Linked DNA regions of Cricetulus griseus. The protein of the gene in region 1 binds, or shares a complex with, the protein of each later gene. Links are inferred from orthologs where the notes say so. Each region holds a gene or a part of one and is shown in the gene's direction. Other genes may lie near its edges.

Region 1 (3,812 bases):
AAGTCACCAGGCAGAGCCACACGCACACCCATAGCACCAGCGTTGGAAGAGAGCGACAGCACAGACATTATGCTTAAGGAGAAGACCCAACCCTTAGAGGAGCTACCCAGCATCCAAGAAGAAACAGCCACAAGATACTCTTGTGAATCTCCACAACCAGAAGAAAAGGAAAGCTCGGTAGCCTCAGAGAGGCAGCTCAGAATACGACTGTGCAAAATAGACATGAAAGAAGAGCCCACAACACAGAGAAAACCACCAGGCAGGAAAACCAGGAATACCCCAAAAGAGCCTGTGAGTGATAGTGGAAATGTTGAAGAGCTTAAGGAGTCTACAAAGCAGAAGACTGACCCAGCAGCAAGTGTGCCTGCTAGCAAGAGGCCACGGAGAGTCAAACTCCAAAGCAGAAACTGGACTTCACAGGGAATTCAATAGGACGCAAGAGAAGGTCACAGGCACCTAAAAACGGGGCTCAACCCCTAGAAGACCTGGATGGCTTCCAAGAACTCTTCCAAACTCCAGTTGGTGCCAGTGATCCAGTGACTGTTAGGGAAACTACAAAGTTGTCTTTGGAATCTGTACAAGCAGAACCAGTCAGAACTCCAGCAAGCAGAAAGAGACTGTCTAAGACAGATCCTGGGAAAGTGGATGTGACAGAAGAAGTTTCAACCCTTGGGAAACGAACAAAGTCACCAGGCAGAGCCACCTGCACACCCACAGCATCAGCGCTGGAAGAGAGCGACAGCATAGACATTATGGAAACTCCAAAGCAGAAAGTGGACTTTACCAGGAGTTCAAGGAGTAGAAGTTCACAGGCAACTAAGAACAGGGCTCAATCCCTAGAAGACCTGGATGGCTTCCAAGAACTCTTCCAAACTCCAGTTGGTGCCAGTGACCCAGTGAATATTGGGAAAACTGCAAAGGTATCTTTGGAATCTGTACAAGCAGAACCAGTCAGAACTCCAGTAAGCACAAAGAGACTGTCTAAGACAGGTCTTGACAAGGTGGATGCGAGAGAAAAGCACTCTTTGCTAAGTAAGCCAAGATGTTCATCACAGGAAGTCATGCGTGTATCCAGACTTTCAGAAGATGATGGCAGTGGAACCAAAGATTTGAAGGAATCTGCAGCTCAGGCATTGGACCCAGCAATAAGTGTAACTCGCAGCAAGAGGCAGCGAGGGGCATGTAAGAAAAGATCCCAGTCCCCAGAAGACCTGTTTGGTCTCCAGGAGCTCTTCCAAACACCAGGCTATGAGAAGGATTCAGTGGCAGGTGAAAAGCTAACAAAAATGCCCCACAGCTCTCTGCCACCAGAGCCAACAGAAACTTCAATCACCTCACAGAGACAGCCCAGAACTAGACTGATGAAAGTTCATGTGAAAAATGAACTATCAGGAGACAGGATGCTTCCACAAATGTCACAGGAAATAATGGACATATCTAGAGTACCAGAAGGTGAAGACAAAGGCATTAGCACAAGGAAGCAATCTGTAAAGCGGAAATTGGACACAGCTGTCAGTGTGCCCAGCAGCAAGAGGCAACGAGTTGCACGAGCGGAAAAGGCACAGACCCTAGAGGGCCTGCCTGGCTTCCAAGAGCTCTCCCAAACTCCAAGCTCAGCAGTGGACTCAGTGACTGTTGATAAAACCACAAAGATGCTCAGCAAATCTCCAGAGTCCATGGACACAACTTCACAGACACAGCCAGGAAGAAGACTCAGGAGAGTGGGTGTGACCAAAGAGCCTATAGCACAAAGAAAAACTACAAGAGTGTTACGGGGAACCAGAAACACACCCAAAGAGCCTGTGGGTGACAGTAAAGATGTCAAAGAGTTTAAAGATTCTTCACAGAAACAAGACCCAACTGTAAGTTTAACTGGCAAGAGGAGCCAATCAAGGACACTTAAGGAGAAGACCCAACCCTTAGAGGAGCTACCCAGCATCCAAGAAGAAACAGCCACAAGATACTCTTGTGAATCTCCACAACCAGAAGAAAAGGAAAGCTCGGTAGCCTCAGAGAGGCAGCTCAGAATACGACTGTGCAAAATAGACATGAAAGAAGAGCCCACAACACAGAGAAAACCACCAGGCAGGAAAACCAGGAATACCCCAAAAGAGCCTGTGAGTGATAGTGGAAATGTTGAAGAGCTTAAGGAGTCTACAAAGCAGAAGACTGACCCAGCAGCAAGTGTGCCTGCTAGCAAGAGGCCACGGAGAGTACTCAGGGAAAAGGCACAACCCCTAGAATTGCCTGGTCCCAAGGGACCAGGTCATACTGAGGAATCAGCAAATGATGAAAGACCCACACAGATTCCCTGCAGTTCTCCGCAACCAGAACAGGTAGATAGCCTCCCGATCTCACCAAGACGTCCCAGGACAAGGCGAGGAAAAGTAGAGGTGGATGAAGTGCCTTCATTAGTGAGGAAGGCAGTACCATCATCAAGGCAAACTTCAAGATCTCGCAAGGTCCCTGAAATTGATGACAAAGACATTCAAGCTTCAAAAGAACCTGGAAAGCAGAAATTAGAAACAGTCACCACTGTAACTGCCAGCAGGAGGCAGCTAAGAGGACCTAAGGATGGGGTCCAATCTCTTGAAGTCCTGGGTGAATCCAAAGAAATAACTCAAATGTCAGAGCACACTGAGAAACTAAGACATGACACCAATAGCCTTAAAAGTACTCTCCAGCAAATGCCAGTCCCCATAAAACCTCTGAGAACATCCAGGAGAGTGCTAAGGGCCTCTAAAGAGGACACTACGGAAACAACTTTGGAAATGGTGGTGGATACCAGGGACTCTGCAGAATCGCAAAGCAAAAGCATCACTTTCCTGCCACCCAAGAGGAAGTCTGCAAGAGATGGAAGTATTCCAAGAACCAGGGGGTTGCGCTCTGTGACTCCAAAGCAGGAAGCAACAGATGAGAAACCTGCACCTAAGAAACAGAGGACTGCTTCCAGCAAGAGGCATGTGTCACCTGAGCCTGTGAAGATGAAACAGCTGAGAATCATGTCAAACAAAATTGAACCAGTGGAAGAGCAGATTAGCAACATCACGGAAGAAAAGGAAGCCCAAGTAGAAAACTCAGCCCATCCAGACCAGGTGATGGGGATGGACATAGTGGGTGCTTTTCAGGAAGGATGGGGCCCATTTTGCTGCAGTAATTTGTGTGTAATGGGGTTTATTCACAGATAAATAGTCATTTCCTTACTGTTTCTATTTACCATCATTAATAGCGCTGGCCATTGATCCTTAGGGGATTTGCACAAGGGACAAACTCCTTAAAGTTTTCCTGTCTGCATAAGACCTAATTAAAAGTGGCTGTAGTAGTTCTCAGGGACTGAATGACTTGCATGTATCTTTAGTTTGAAGAATTAACCAGAGAACAGGTGGGCAGTGTAGTTCTGTGTATGTGACAGTATTCAAATAAGAAACACATGTGCTGGGGCTATCAAGTTGGCTCAGCGGCTCTTAGCACTGGCAGCTCTTCCAAAGGACCCTGTGTTCAATTCCTAGCACCCACATGGCAGTTCACAACTGTCTTTAACTCCAGTTCCAATGGATCTGACACCTTCATACCAATGCACATATTTAAATTAAAAAAACAAAAACAAAACACAGGTGCTAAGGTTCATATAACCTTGAGAAGGATTGGAACAGGGAGATCACTATAGCATCCCTCAGATTGCAGGCTCTTGTTTCTTGGTGATCATTAAAGGACCAGGGACTCATTTACTGCCTGTATGGTGGACATTCTTCAATAGTATGAACTGGAATGTTTCGGTATGATTGACATCCTGAATTTATAATTTATCAGGG
Region 2 (4,301 bases), on another chromosome or scaffold:
TTGTTTTGCTGAAGCTGAGGGCAATAAAACACAAACCACAAAACTCAACAAATCCACATGGAGTTTATTGGGAAAGGGAACCAAGGGAGGGATAGGTGTTGGCCAAACCCGAACAGAGATGGAAGGGGAAAGGAAAAAGAGGTAAAGAGACACAGAGAGAGAGGACAGGGGAGAAGAGGGAGACAGGAAAAGCCTGGTCTCCCCAGGGGAACAACAGGAAAAAGAGTGCAAAGAAATGAGCTGGCAGAAAGACCTTTAAGTGGGCGGGGTCTTTCTCTTAAAAGGGTCCTTTGCACCTCCATGGAACGCTGGGCTGACTAGGGTACTGCCTGAGTGCATTCTGCCAGGTGACAGGGGCAGGCCAGCATAATGCCTAAGTCCTTATACTCTGCGCCCCCCCACACACACACACATGCATGGGCACCGGCATGCATACATGCACCGGCATGCATACTGCACCTGCACACACTCCAAATGAAGGGCGGGAGGAAGGAGGATGGTTACGAACCGAGCCAAGCGAGGGCTGTATGAAAATGCCATAAAGAAACCTATGGTGAGACTGTCTCAAGTTAAATAAATCCAAAGAATGACAAACAAACAAACAAACAAAAAAACACAAATGAGTTGGGGTCGGCGGGGGTCATGAGTGAAGGACGGGCACGGCTAATGTTTGGGACTTCTTTATGTTTGTTTTTGAGCCAGGGTTCCATGGAGCCCAGTCTGTCTTCGAACTCACTATGTATATGAGAGTGGCTTTGGACTCCGATGCTCCTGTCTCCACCTTCTAAAGGATGGGATTACAAACGTGGGACTCTAGCCGGACGTTGTTGGCACACGCTTTAATCCCAGCACTCGGGAGGCAGAGGCCGGCTGATCTCTGTGAGTTCGAGGCCAGCCTGGTCTCCAGAGCGAGTGCCAGGATAGGCTCCAAAGCCATACAGAGAAACCCTGTCTCGAAAAACAAAAACAAAAAACAAAAAACAAAAAAACAAAAACAAAAAAAAAACCGTGGGACTCCAGTCCCGGTTTCCAACCCAGGACTTGGCGCATGGCGCATGCTCTGCAAGCACTCCACCCTCTGCCTTGTGGTTTATTTTCAATCCTCTTTAGAAAACTTTCAGTTTATGGCCAGCAGGTGGCGCTCGAGCCCGCCCAATACCAGACACCGCGGCCTAAACAGTTCTTTGCTACGCTTCCTCCCGCCTCTACTTCCGCTTCCGAGAGGCGATCCGGAGCGTCACTTCCGGCAGCTCCGCGTGGACCCGCTGGTAACTCCGCCGGCATGGCGGTGTTAGACGGCCCCGCAAAGCCGAATCTGGCGCTGAACCCGCAGGAAGACTCGCTGTTTCAGAAGGAGGTGACGCAAGTCCAACAGCGCGTGAAAAAGGTGAGCGGGCGGGCGGGAGCTCCGGCCCGGAGGAGCTGGCGGGGCCGCATGGGGAGCGGGCCTCTCACGGGCTTGGAGGCTGCGGTTCAAGTCAGGAGACTGGGGCAGGCCGGGAATCAGTGTGGGGTTTGGCTCTTTAGGCCCCCAGGACTCTCGTGGAGACAAAGAGGTAGCACGTGTAGGAGCGTGACACGTCCAGACGTCAGGATAAGTTAAAGCTGCCACACTTCCGCTTTGACCCGCAAATTCAGGCAGGGTTCGTGGGTCACCGCAGCGCTCGGAAGGTGTGTGTGCGCCCTAATGTTGGAGCGCTTAGAAGGCGGGATTAAGATGCAAAACCCCAGCACCGGGGAGGGGGAAGCAGGACGATCGAGAGTCAGAAATAGTGTGGACTACACATTCAGATCACGGCTTAGTTAAAGAAAATAGAGACATTGTCGGACGGTGGTGACGCACTCGAGGCAAGGGCAGGTTGATATTTTCAGTTTCAGGACAGCCAGGGCTACGCAGAGAAACCGTGTCTTGAAAAAAACGAAAAGAAGGGAAAGGCCGGGATTAAAGGAGTGGTGTCGCACTCCTTTAATCCCAGCACTCGGGAGGCAGAGGCAGGAGGATCTCTGTGAGTTCGAGACCAGCCCGGTCTACAAGAGTTAGTTCCAGGACAGCCTCCAAAGCCACAGAGAAACCCTGTCTCGAACCCCCTCATTCCCCAAAGGAAAAGAAAGATGATAGAGACAAGACAAGCTCTGTTTGCCCACAGTGGCCCCTGACAAAAGTTTATATTCCCCCTGGTTTATAGCCTGAAATGCACTGGAGAAAATGAAAGGTTTTCTTTGTTGTTGTTTTGTTTTGGGGGAGGGTTTTGGGGGTTTGGGGTTGGTTTTTTGTTTGTTTACTTTTTAATGTCACTACAGGGTCTACTGTAGCCCAAGCTAGCCTTAAATTTACGGTGCAGCTGAGGCTTTGAATTCTTATATCCACTTACTGAATTTCAGCTAGGATTGTAGGCCTGGGTCACTACCTGGGTTAGAGTATGGTGACAGAGAAGTACAGTCTGCATCGCGAAGGTTAACAGCTGGAAATAGGTGTGAATAAACTCCTCTGCATTCAGAATTGAAGGTCTCAGGTTCAAAGTGACAATGACAGATGTTTGATCTTACAATACAGCTAGCTCCAAAACACATGCTGTACTGAGATGAAAGACTTTCTGTGGGGGTGGGTGGGCATGGATATGTGTGTGTCCATGATGTGCATCGTGGTGCATATGTAGGTCAGAAGACAACCCTTGCGAGTCTGTCTCTTGCACTGTGACCCCAAGAAAACCATTGGCAGCCCAGCAGTTTTCTTTAAGGGAAGAGAGACATCAAACACCTAGCTCTTTAATTACTGCTGTAATAGAGATATGAGTAGGTTTCTGAACCAAGGGGAGTGAAGGGTTTTGAAAGTTTTATTGCAAGCCAGGCAAGGTGGTATATACCTTCAGTCCCAGTGCTGTGGAGGCATAGGCAGGCAAATCTCTACCTCTCCCCTAAAAAGACTGTAGAATTAATATCCCTTAAAGGGCATGGTGGCGGGGGCCTTTAATCCCAGCATTCAGGAGTTAGAGGCCAGCCTGGTCTACATAGTGAGTTCCAGGCCAGCCAAAGTTCCATAGTGAGACCCTGTGCAGTATGAGTTTGTGTGTATGTTGTTTTTGTTTTAAGATTTAATTTATTATGTATACAACATTCTGCTTCCATGTATATCTGTACACCAGAAGAGGGCACCAGATCTCAACGCATGGTTGTGAGCATGTGGTTGCTGGGAATTGAACTGAGGACCTCTGGAAGAGCAGCCACTCCTCTTAACCTCTCAGCTATGTCTCCAGCCCAATGAGTTTGTGTTTTTAAAATATTTATTTGTTGTTTTTGTCCTCAGCAAAAGAAGGAAGGAAGTCTTAACCCTGGAGTGATCTTTCTGGGCCACCTGCCTTCAACACTTTCTGAAACGCACATCTATGACTACTTTACCCAGTTTGGCACTATTAGCAGATTCAGATTGTCCAGAAGTAAACGGGTAAGATTATGTGTCTGAACTCAGCTATGTGTGTTTTTGTTTTTCCATTGTGTGTCATCTTTTGTATTCATAGGCACAACATTGTTACCTGCAAAGTTCACACTCAAGAACTTTTCACAAGCTGGGCATGGTGGTACACACCTTTAATCTTAGCACTCAGGAAGCAGAGGCCAGCAGATCTCTCTGTTGAGTTCAAAGCCAGCCTGGTTTATGTCATGAGTTCCAGCACAGCCAGGGATACATAAGGAGAGCTTGACTGTAAATAAATATAAACTAACACGAGTTGCAGTGGAGTCACAGGAAAATAAATCTTGCATAGCAGCGTGTACCTTTAATCCCAATACTTAGGAAGCAAAGGCAGGCAGATCTTTGAGTTTGAAGCCAGCCACAGCTGCATAGTGTGGAATCCTTCCTCAATAAAAAGAAAGAAGTCATGAGGCTGGGGAGATAGCTCAGTCTATAACTCTCAATCTACAGAACCCAGGTCAAAAGCCAGGTGTGGTCATGTACACTTATAATCCCAATGCTAAGAAGGTGGGGACTTCATCCCTGGGATGAAGCCTCACCCAACTCCAGGACAGTGAGAGGACGTTTCAAAATTAAGCTGGTTGGGCACTAGGGAAATGACTTAATGGTAAGAGCACTTTTGCTCTAAGTATGGGGTGGAATACACACACACACATGGTTTCATAGCAATCTGATTATTACAGGTTATTTTATTGTCATTCCATGGAATTACAATCTGAGGCTTACATGTTACTTAGCACAAGTCTGGTGTCCGCGCCAGAATCAAAACATAGACATTTGAACTCCAGACCCCATATGACACTTGAGACTAATATGGGTAAGGAAATTCACT

The links.
Region 2: the proteins of Mki67 (region 1) and Nifk are in contact, whole or in part, in an NMR structure (PDB 2AFF), measured with the Homo sapiens proteins. The link is inferred for Cricetulus griseus from reciprocal best matches to the Homo sapiens genes MKI67 and NIFK. Residues at the interface, in NP_002408.3 of Homo sapiens: Thr9, Ile10, Lys11, Arg12, Ser13, Pro18, His19, Phe20, Pro21, Ser23, Leu24, Arg31, Gly32, Ile33, Glu34, Cys35, Asp36, Ile37, Arg38, Ile39, Gln40, Leu41, Pro42, Val43, Val44, Ser45, Lys46, Thr66, Asn67, Ile91; in NP_115766.3 of Homo sapiens: Val228, Asp229, Ser230, Gln231, Gly232, Pro233, Thr234, Pro235, Val236, Cys237, Phe241, Leu242, Arg245, Gln248, Val249, Leu252, Asp256, Lys257, Asp259, Glu260, Ile261, Val262, Phe263, Lys264, Gln265, Pro266, Ile267.

Annotation. Positions count from the first base shown.
Region 1 is NC_048596.1:65,233,881-65,237,692, forward strand, and holds part of Mki67 (proliferation marker protein Ki-67), read left to right. Parts: coding exon 1-71; intron 72-388; coding exon 389-3,095; intron 3,096-3,812. UniProt on the Homo sapiens protein: Protein that associates with the surface of mitotic chromosomes and acts both as a chromosome repellent during early mitosis and chromosome attractant during late mitosis.
Region 2 is NC_048598.1:70,205,013-70,209,313, reverse strand, and holds the start of Nifk (MKI67 FHA domain-interacting nucleolar phosphoprotein), read left to right. Parts: upstream 1-1,225; 5' UTR 1,226-1,282; coding exon 1,283-1,387; intron 1,388-3,304; coding exon 3,305-3,442; intron 3,443-4,301.